Saccharomyces cerevisiae S288C: one gene and its partner. The protein of the gene in region 2 binds, or shares a complex with, the protein of the main gene of each other region. Each region holds a gene or a part of one and is shown on either strand. Other genes may lie near its edges. A codon is read from its position in the direction of its gene.

Region 1 (2,945 bases), on a different chromosome or scaffold from region 2:
CGTGTTGCAAAAGGCTTCGATGGAAAGTTGCCAAATCTTGACATCCTCACGAATAATGGCTCTGTATCTTCCAAAAATATATCAAGATTATCTTCAGCTTCTCTCCAACCCTCTTCGCCTCTATCTTCATCATCAAATAGGCTTATTTTACCAAATAGTAACCTCAAAGAATTGCATCATTCAAATACACCTTTAACAAGTACCTCGACGCAGTTTCCCTCAGCTTTAGAAAAATTAAAAATAACAAGGAAGAGAAATAATACTATCAGCGGTTCGAATAGAATAACACACAACTTGAGCTCACACGTAAGAAGCAGTGGTCTTGCCTTTTCATCTTCATCGAACTCATTGCAACAAAGTAAACTGCCGAAATCAAATATACTAAAGCGGTCCAATTCAACTCAGCAACTGACTAATACACATTTGAAGAGTGATAATCATCTGCCACCTCGCTCAAGTAATACTGTGTTGGGTAGTAGCAAGAAAAACAATAAGTTTAGAAGGATTAGGTAAATAGGTGTAAGGATTCCCCGTGACGAAAACAGCCTTCAGAATAGATAGAGTATGTTACTGTATTATAAAAGTTATTCTATTTTCTTATGTGTTACTATATATGGTATTATTTTAGAAGAAATTTGTCGAATTATGTTCTTCTTAGATCCTTCTTTCCCGCCGTCTCAATACGAAGGCACAAGGAGAGGATTATGAATATATGAAAAGAAAATTGTACAAATAAATAAAACGATGATATGCGCACCTAGGAATAGCAAAGAACACACTCTAAAACGTCTCAACCAAGCACGCTATGTACACACATCTATCCTTCAAACTTATGGGGGTGTTTTAAAAAGCACCTGACTTTTTCAATTGAACATAGCAGGCAACAAATGGAACAGCAAATCCAATAGCGAAGAACCCGAAATGAGATAAGGCGTAAGGTGTCTTTCTTCCTTTGACTTTGAATGGGATATTTTCATACACACCGTCTTTGAAGTGTACTGACCTCTTCATGATAATAGGTCTGGTCATGATATTGCTACTTCTCTTAGCTGTCGTTCTAATCATCTGTTGGCACAACATTGCGTAATGGAAATGGATAACTTTTCTGTTTAGTTTGCTCTGTGGCTCTATCTAGAAAATTAAAGGATACAAAACTAATTAACCATTCTTATAAATCACTAAGCCAGCACAATGGTTTCTACTGCTGTCAGCCTTTATTTTCAATTTTTCTTAGTCCCCTAGCTTTTCCGTAAACACCGAACACTTCTCTCGTATGATTGGTGCAAACCGTTTGGTGAAAAAAAGCACATTTGCATATACAAAAAATTAACAAATCTATCATATAATAATTAAGATATAGAGTTCATGATCCTTGTGCCATTGATCAAGCCATCGGCGATGATGATAAACCTTTTATTGATACCTTTTTTACCTAGTATTTTTTGCAAATGCTTCATTATAGCTATTTCACCCATTGTTACACCTCCGAGGAATACTACGAGTGCAATATCCTCTGCAGCATGAAATGTCCCATTAGATCCGTCTATGGACCGTCTATTATTGCTCTTGATGCTTGCATTGATCTTTTTTGTAATGGTTCCCGGGACCCATATACTCTCTTCGATCGCATGTGAGTCTCCATATAACTGTTCAATTAAATCCTCCGTTTGAGAAACTCTAGGTTCTCTTGACAGTATAAAAGGCTGCTGCGAGGAATAATTATGGAACAAGATAGACCTATCATATAACATCTGAACCAGTCTCATTGTCAAGGGCACTACACCACTGTAAGCAAAAGTGGCTTCCGAGAAGTCATCGTTCTCATTTGTGATTTTATCGGCAGCATGCTCGTCTTCTATGGGTACTGTATTGAACCATTGTGAAATATAACGGTATTCTTTCTGTAATCTTGTTGACTTACTTGTTGTAATATGCAAATCAGTTTTTCCCGTTTTGCTAGTGAAAAATCCTAACTCAGCCAATGATTCAAGTTGAAAGCATTTTTCAATGCCCCAAGAGTCGATCATAAAGGTTCTTAGATATTCATAATCCTTTTCTCGAAGTGAATTTTTACAAAGAGACAATAAACAGATTAATCTGAGAATCTTCTTTTGATCAACCTCGTACTGGTACTGCAACTCGAGTATAATATCTTCAATGTCGTTATTAAGTGTATTTCCCATCAAAATTTCCAGCTCTAACTCTAAGATTTTATTGAAAGATCCGTACTCTTCAGTCTCTACCACTTTCAAAACGTCGGATGATAAGGTTGTGTGATTTTTCAAAAAAGCTTGCCTTTGTTGCAAAGAACCTAAGGAATCAACGAATTCTTTGATTTCATGTACGCTCTCGGCTTTATGCCTTGTATCATATTGCGTTTGTAGTTCCTTTGCCAATTTATTTAACTGCGGCCCAATCGACCCAAAATTTAAAAATTTCAAATCATTCCATATTTTATCTTCCTTATAATTGAAGTTCATGTCTTTCTCCTTTATCTTTATGCCAGAATTGAATTCATATAGATCATCTAGTATTCCTGCATACGTAAGTTGTGTCAACAATGGCGTTATAGGATCGGTATTCCTTTCCAAGATAATCAAGTCCATTTCTAGTCCACAGTTGGTTCGTTCACCATAAAGCGTACCCTTGATGAATAAATCATTCTCTGTTTGATGCTCATCGATTCGTTTCTTCAAAAGATGGCTACATCTCTTAGACAGATTACCTATCGACACAACATTTGTTATGATACTATTAGTTTCAAAAATCAAGCTCTGCAACGAATTGACCATATCATCAACCAGTATTGACTCTGTGGCACTCTGCAAAGAACGTAAGTTGGGATAATACATGTTTACATTTTCCATGTTATAAAGGGAATGAGTCAATAGAACATTTTCATCAATCTGTGGGAAGGGCAAGAGATCCCAAGGGTAAAGGGTATA
Region 2 (5,110 bases):
AAGCTAATGATTCATTTTTGGTTAACTCGTGTACCTCTTCTTCCAATACATAAGCATGAATCACAATCCCCAAGTGGGAAGGAGTTAATGAGAACCCTAAACATTCTTTACAGGAATTCGTTAACCTAGCCATCGGACAGTTCTTACCTTGCGCTGGCTGTTTTACTCCAGCGCTTTTATGGCATGCTATTGTCCCCGTTGAGTTGGCCCCAACTGGGTAAGCCATATGGTTTACGTATCTAAATACTATGTATGTTACTACTAATAATCAGAACCAAAATGATACGGTAAAGTTTTCATTAATTGAATAAACAGAGATATGTTTATCAATTAACACTTCAATACAGTGATAAATTAAGCGAAACGGCGCACAGAAAATCATTAATACAGCATGACCAACTACTAAAAATGAAATAGCAAATTAACCTATGTTGCCACGTGTTAAAGAGCCTTTCCCAAACCGTACGTGATAGTTTCCCATCATACGGCTTTCCATATTGAGTATCATTAATAATAGATTTTATATACCAGGTCCTATATTTTTAAATTTATTTTTATGTGTTTTAATATGACATTGTTTACATAATGGAATTTGTTTTCTGTTTATGGTAATTATTCTACCTAGAATATAATCTTTAAGTGCTTTTAATATACCTCTATGTAATTGTTTAACATGATGTATTTCTACATCAATAGTTGAATTACAAATACTACAAGGTTTATTAAAATTAGCTTTAGCTGTAGGTAATATATATTTAATTGAATCGATATATTCAAAAGGATCAGTTACTTTAGCTTCTGATATATATATAAATATACCATGATTTTCAATTTTTTTGATATTATCAAAAGTATTTCTTGGAAAATTGGCAATTAATTTATCATTTTCAATAATATTTAAATTATAACCAAATTTTTTAATAGTTTTACTTATTGTTTTTAATCTATATTTACTAGCTAAAGTTAATACACATGAATAATATAATACGTAATAGATTCTTTCTCTTAATCTTTTATAATTAGTAGCTAATTTATAATAATTTAAGATACCTCTACCTAACGCTTTATAATTATTAATAATTGTTCTAGGTTCTTCATATAGTCATCTACCTACTCTTGTAGGCACTCCTATTCTACCATTTTTATTATGCTTACAATATCCATTAGTAGCTAATTTATTGATAATATCTCTAATTGGTGCATTAATAATAGGTCTAGTTGTATTTCTACTTCTAATAAGTTTACCTCTAATTAGTTTAGTAACTGTAGGTATTCTTTTTAAAGGTGTAATTGAAATATTATAACCTAAAAATCTTGCTGGTAGTTCAGTTGCACAAGTAATTAAAGTTTTTTCTTCATTTATAGTTAAACCTAATGAATTTAAAAAATTGTTTAAATCTCTTTTGATTATTTTACAATCATTTTTTGAACCTAATACCCCAATTAAAATATCATCTGCATATCTAACGTATTTTATTCTCTTGAAATTAGGATCATTATAAATAAATAGTGGGCCTTTAGCTCTTTCTTTATGTAATTTTAATCTTGTCGAAAATATTTTAGCTTTTGCAATTATTCTTGATAATTTTTTATATGTAGGATGTTGTTTTTTAACTTTACCTTTATTATATAAATTAATATAATCTTCTAATCAATTATCTACCAATGTTATTACAATATTACATAAGATAGGACTAATTAATGATCCTTGAGGTAAACCTAATATAGGTTTATGATAAGTTCCTTTCTCATCAATATAACCAGCTCTTAATAATTTATATACTAAATCAATAAAACCTTTATCTGAAATATATCTTTTTAATTCTTTAATAATTAAATCATGAGAAATTGTATCAAAACATTTTTTTAAGTCTACTTCAATAAATCAATTACTTCCACCAAATATATTTCTAACTTCTCAAATTGCTGTTTGACAACTTATATTCTTTCTAAAACCATGTGAATGTGTTGATATCTTTTTATCAAAAATTGTATCTAAAATTATTCTTATAACTTCTTGTACAATTTTATCTCTTGGATTACCTACACTTAAAGGTCTTATACCACCTTTAGGTTTAGGAATATTAACTATTCTCATGGGTTTAAATTTGAATTTACCTGTTCCTAATTCATTTGATAATTTATTTAAATATATTATATTTATACCATCTAATGTTTCTAATGTTGTACCTGGAGTTATATTACCAGGTTTACTCTTAATTCTATTATATGCTAATATTAATATATCTACGTTTTTTATAATACTTAATAAATTATTATTTATATTTTCCTCATTTATATTATCTATTACTAATTTCTCAAATTCTAACAAGTCCGAAGTACTTGTATCTTTTGATAACTCAATATTGGTATCCTTCCCTATTTTTAAATTATTATTTACTGAATAGTATCTAACTTGATTTAAAAATCTCATTTTTATTTGAGTATTCGGTACTACTATACCTCTGTCAACTCCAGAGTTTCCTCTTTCAGTTGATCCCTCACTTTTCGTATTTCCTTTTGTGTTATTTAGGTCCTTCATCTTTTTCACACTGCCTGTGCTATCTAAAACAATGAATCATAATCTGATTACCTCAACGTAAAATAATCAAACTTGTTTTACTATATCCAAATGATAAGAGGAAATTGTAATCCTGATAAAGACTTGTAAGAAGTTCGTTAACCTAACCATGTAACACTTAACTCCACCTACACTAATCATAGGTGTTTTATGACATGCTATTGTCCCCGTAAAGTTAGCCCCTACTGAGTTAGTCATATGTTTTAAGTATCTATTGATGATTCATAATACTAATGCTAGACGCATCAACGAAATATACGCACTGAGAGGCGCACCATTAAATAATTGTGAATTACCATGTAAATATTGTGAACCAGGTGCAGCTAATTCTAATCTAATGATTAAAGACATTGCTGTTCCTGCCATACCACTAAAAATAGCTAACATAAAATATAATACTGCAATATCTTTTGCATTTGTTGAATATAATCATCTTTGTACCATTTTTACTTTTTTTTTATATATTAATTTTAATAATATTATTATTATTATATTCATTAAAAAAAAAAATTAATTAAATTTAATTTAATTTAATTTAAATAATTATTGTTATATCTTAAAGGATAATAATATATTATTCTATTTATAAATATAACAATAGTTGAATTTATAATATTAATTATTAATGAATACTATATAATATTTTAGTTATAACTTTAAACAATTCTTTTATATCTTTATAAATAAATATTATTATATTATAAAGTAATAGTATAATTAATTTTTATATATATATTATTTATATAAATGTATCATAATCTATAATATAATATATATATATATATTAAAATCATTTAAATTATATAACATATATATATATTTAATGATATTAATACTCTCTTTCATAATCTATATTATTAATATTATTTATATAAAATATTAATAATATTATTATTATATCTATTACTTATATCAATACTTATTATTTAATATTATATATTACTTTTTACTCATTACAAAATACCAACTAAACCGAACTAATATAAATATATTATTTAATATATTGATTTTTTTATTATTTATTACTTAATAATAAAATAAATTATATAAAAATATTATTATCTATATATTATATATATATTTATATATATATATATTTTTTATATTATATTATATTATATATATATTATTTACATTCTTTATTATATTTATATATATTATTATTCTTTATTATAAATAAGAAATTATTTAATTTATATTTTTATGATAATATTTAAAGATTTATTAATTAAATTATTCATAATATATTAAATAATATTAATCTTATATATATAAATAATTAATATTGATTATTATTATTATTATTATATATATAAATAAATATTGATAAAAATAATATTTAATATAGAGTATTATATTTTATATAATTAATATATATATATATATATATTGTTATATATATTAAAAAAGTAATGTAGTTATATTTTTAGTATTAAATATATAAGTCCCGGTTTCTTACGAAACCGGGACCTCGGAGACGTAATAGGGGGAGGGGGTGGGTGATAAGAACCAAACTATTCAATAAATATAGAGCACACATTAGTTAAATGTATTAATATAATCAATAAATATATTATAATAATATAATATATTATATAATATAAATAAAGGTATTAACGAAATAATAAATTGTATAATATAAATTATAAATAAATAATTAAAATAAATTTAATAAAATAATAAATAAAAACAAGAAGATATCCGGGTCCCATGATAAATTATTATTGAAAATAATAATTGGGACCCCACCACTATAATAAAATATTAATGAATATAATTATAATATATATAAAAATATATATAATAATATTTATATATAATATATATATATATATATAGAAATATAAATTATTATATAAAAATATAATTCTCCTCCGGCGTCCGCCCCGCGGGGCGGGCCGGACTATTTATTATTATATTTTAATAATAAATAAATAAAAATAATAATAATAGTTCCGGGGCCCGGCCACGGGAGCCGGAACCCCGGAAGGAGAAATATAAAAGTATAAATTATATAAAAAGCATATTAATTAATTAATTCTTATAAGAATTACAATTAATTGATATTATATGCCAAATACCAATTAATTAATTAATTAAATTGAAATTAATATATATATAATTATATAAATAATAATATAATAAAAAATAAAATACTTATTATTATTATAAAAATAAGTTATAATATAAAAATATTAATTATTTATTTATTTATTTATTTTATAAAAAAAAATAAATATATATTTATAATATCTTAATATAATTATAATTATTAAAATATTTATATATATTTATATATTTATATTATAATGAATATAAAAACTTTTTATTAATTAGTAAGAAATGAATATTTATATTATAATATAAATATGTATTTATTAATATTAGAACATATCAATAATTATTATTATAATTATTATTAGTCCAAATAAAAATAAAAATAAAATAAGATTTATATAATAATCATAACCTCATATAGAGTGAATACTTTATATATCATATAATAAGATATAATATAATATGATATGA

The links.
Region 1: the proteins of COX1 (region 2) and COX8 are in contact, whole or in part, in a cryo-EM structure (PDB 6T0B), measured with the Saccharomyces cerevisiae proteins. Residues at the interface, in NP_009305.1 of Saccharomyces cerevisiae: Met1 (codon at 3,025), Gln3 (codon at 3,019), Arg4 (codon at 3,016), Trp5, Val16 (codon at 2,980), Leu17 (codon at 2,977), Met20 (codon at 2,968), Ile23 (codon at 2,959), Phe24 (codon at 2,956), Met27 (codon at 2,947), Ala28 (codon at 2,944), Ala31 (codon at 2,935), Met32 (codon at 2,932), Leu34 (codon at 2,926), Ile35 (codon at 2,923), Leu48 (codon at 2,884), His49 (codon at 2,881), Asn51 (codon at 2,875), Leu54 (codon at 2,866), Leu58 (codon at 406), Thr117, Leu118, Val119, Glu120, Ser121, Gly122, Leu401, Gly402, Leu403, Phe466; in NP_013499.1 of Saccharomyces cerevisiae: Val28 (codon at 999), His29 (codon at 996), Phe30 (codon at 993), Lys31 (codon at 990), Asp32 (codon at 987), Gly33 (codon at 984), Val34 (codon at 981), Tyr35 (codon at 978), Glu36 (codon at 975), Asn37 (codon at 972), Ile38 (codon at 969), Pro39 (codon at 966), Phe40 (codon at 963), Val42 (codon at 957), Lys43 (codon at 954), Tyr49 (codon at 936), Ala50 (codon at 933), His53 (codon at 924), Phe54 (codon at 921), Phe56 (codon at 915), Phe57 (codon at 912), Ile59 (codon at 906), Gly60 (codon at 903), Phe61 (codon at 900), Val63 (codon at 894), Pro64 (codon at 891), Phe65 (codon at 888), Ala67 (codon at 882), Cys68 (codon at 879), Val70 (codon at 873).

The regions. Positions count from the first base shown.
Region 1 is NC_001144.5:908,886-911,830, forward strand, and holds COX8 (cytochrome c oxidase subunit VIII), read right to left. Parts: upstream 1,081-2,945; coding exon 844-1,080; downstream 1-843. Other genes in the region: SUMO ligase CST9, read left to right, coding at 1-513; tethering complex ATP-binding subunit VPS33, read right to left, coding at 1,350-2,945. UniProt on the Saccharomyces cerevisiae protein: Component of the cytochrome c oxidase, the last enzyme in the mitochondrial electron transport chain which drives oxidative phosphorylation.
Region 2 is NC_001224.1:11,733-16,842, reverse strand, and holds the start of COX1 (cytochrome c oxidase subunit 1), read right to left. Parts: upstream 3,026-5,110; coding exon 2,857-3,025; coding exon of another isoform or gene 521-2,856; intron 409-520; coding exon 373-408; coding exon of another isoform or gene 1-372. Other genes in the region: intron-encoded reverse transcriptase aI1, read right to left, coding at 521-3,025; intron-encoded DNA endonuclease aI3, read right to left, coding at 373-408, 2,857-3,025; intron-encoded DNA endonuclease aI4, read right to left, coding at 373-408, 2,857-3,025; AI5_ALPHA (intron-encoded DNA endonuclease aI5 alpha), read right to left, coding at 373-408, 2,857-3,025; intron-encoded reverse transcriptase aI2, read right to left, coding at 1-408, 2,857-3,025. UniProt on the Saccharomyces cerevisiae protein: Component of the cytochrome c oxidase, the last enzyme in the mitochondrial electron transport chain which drives oxidative phosphorylation.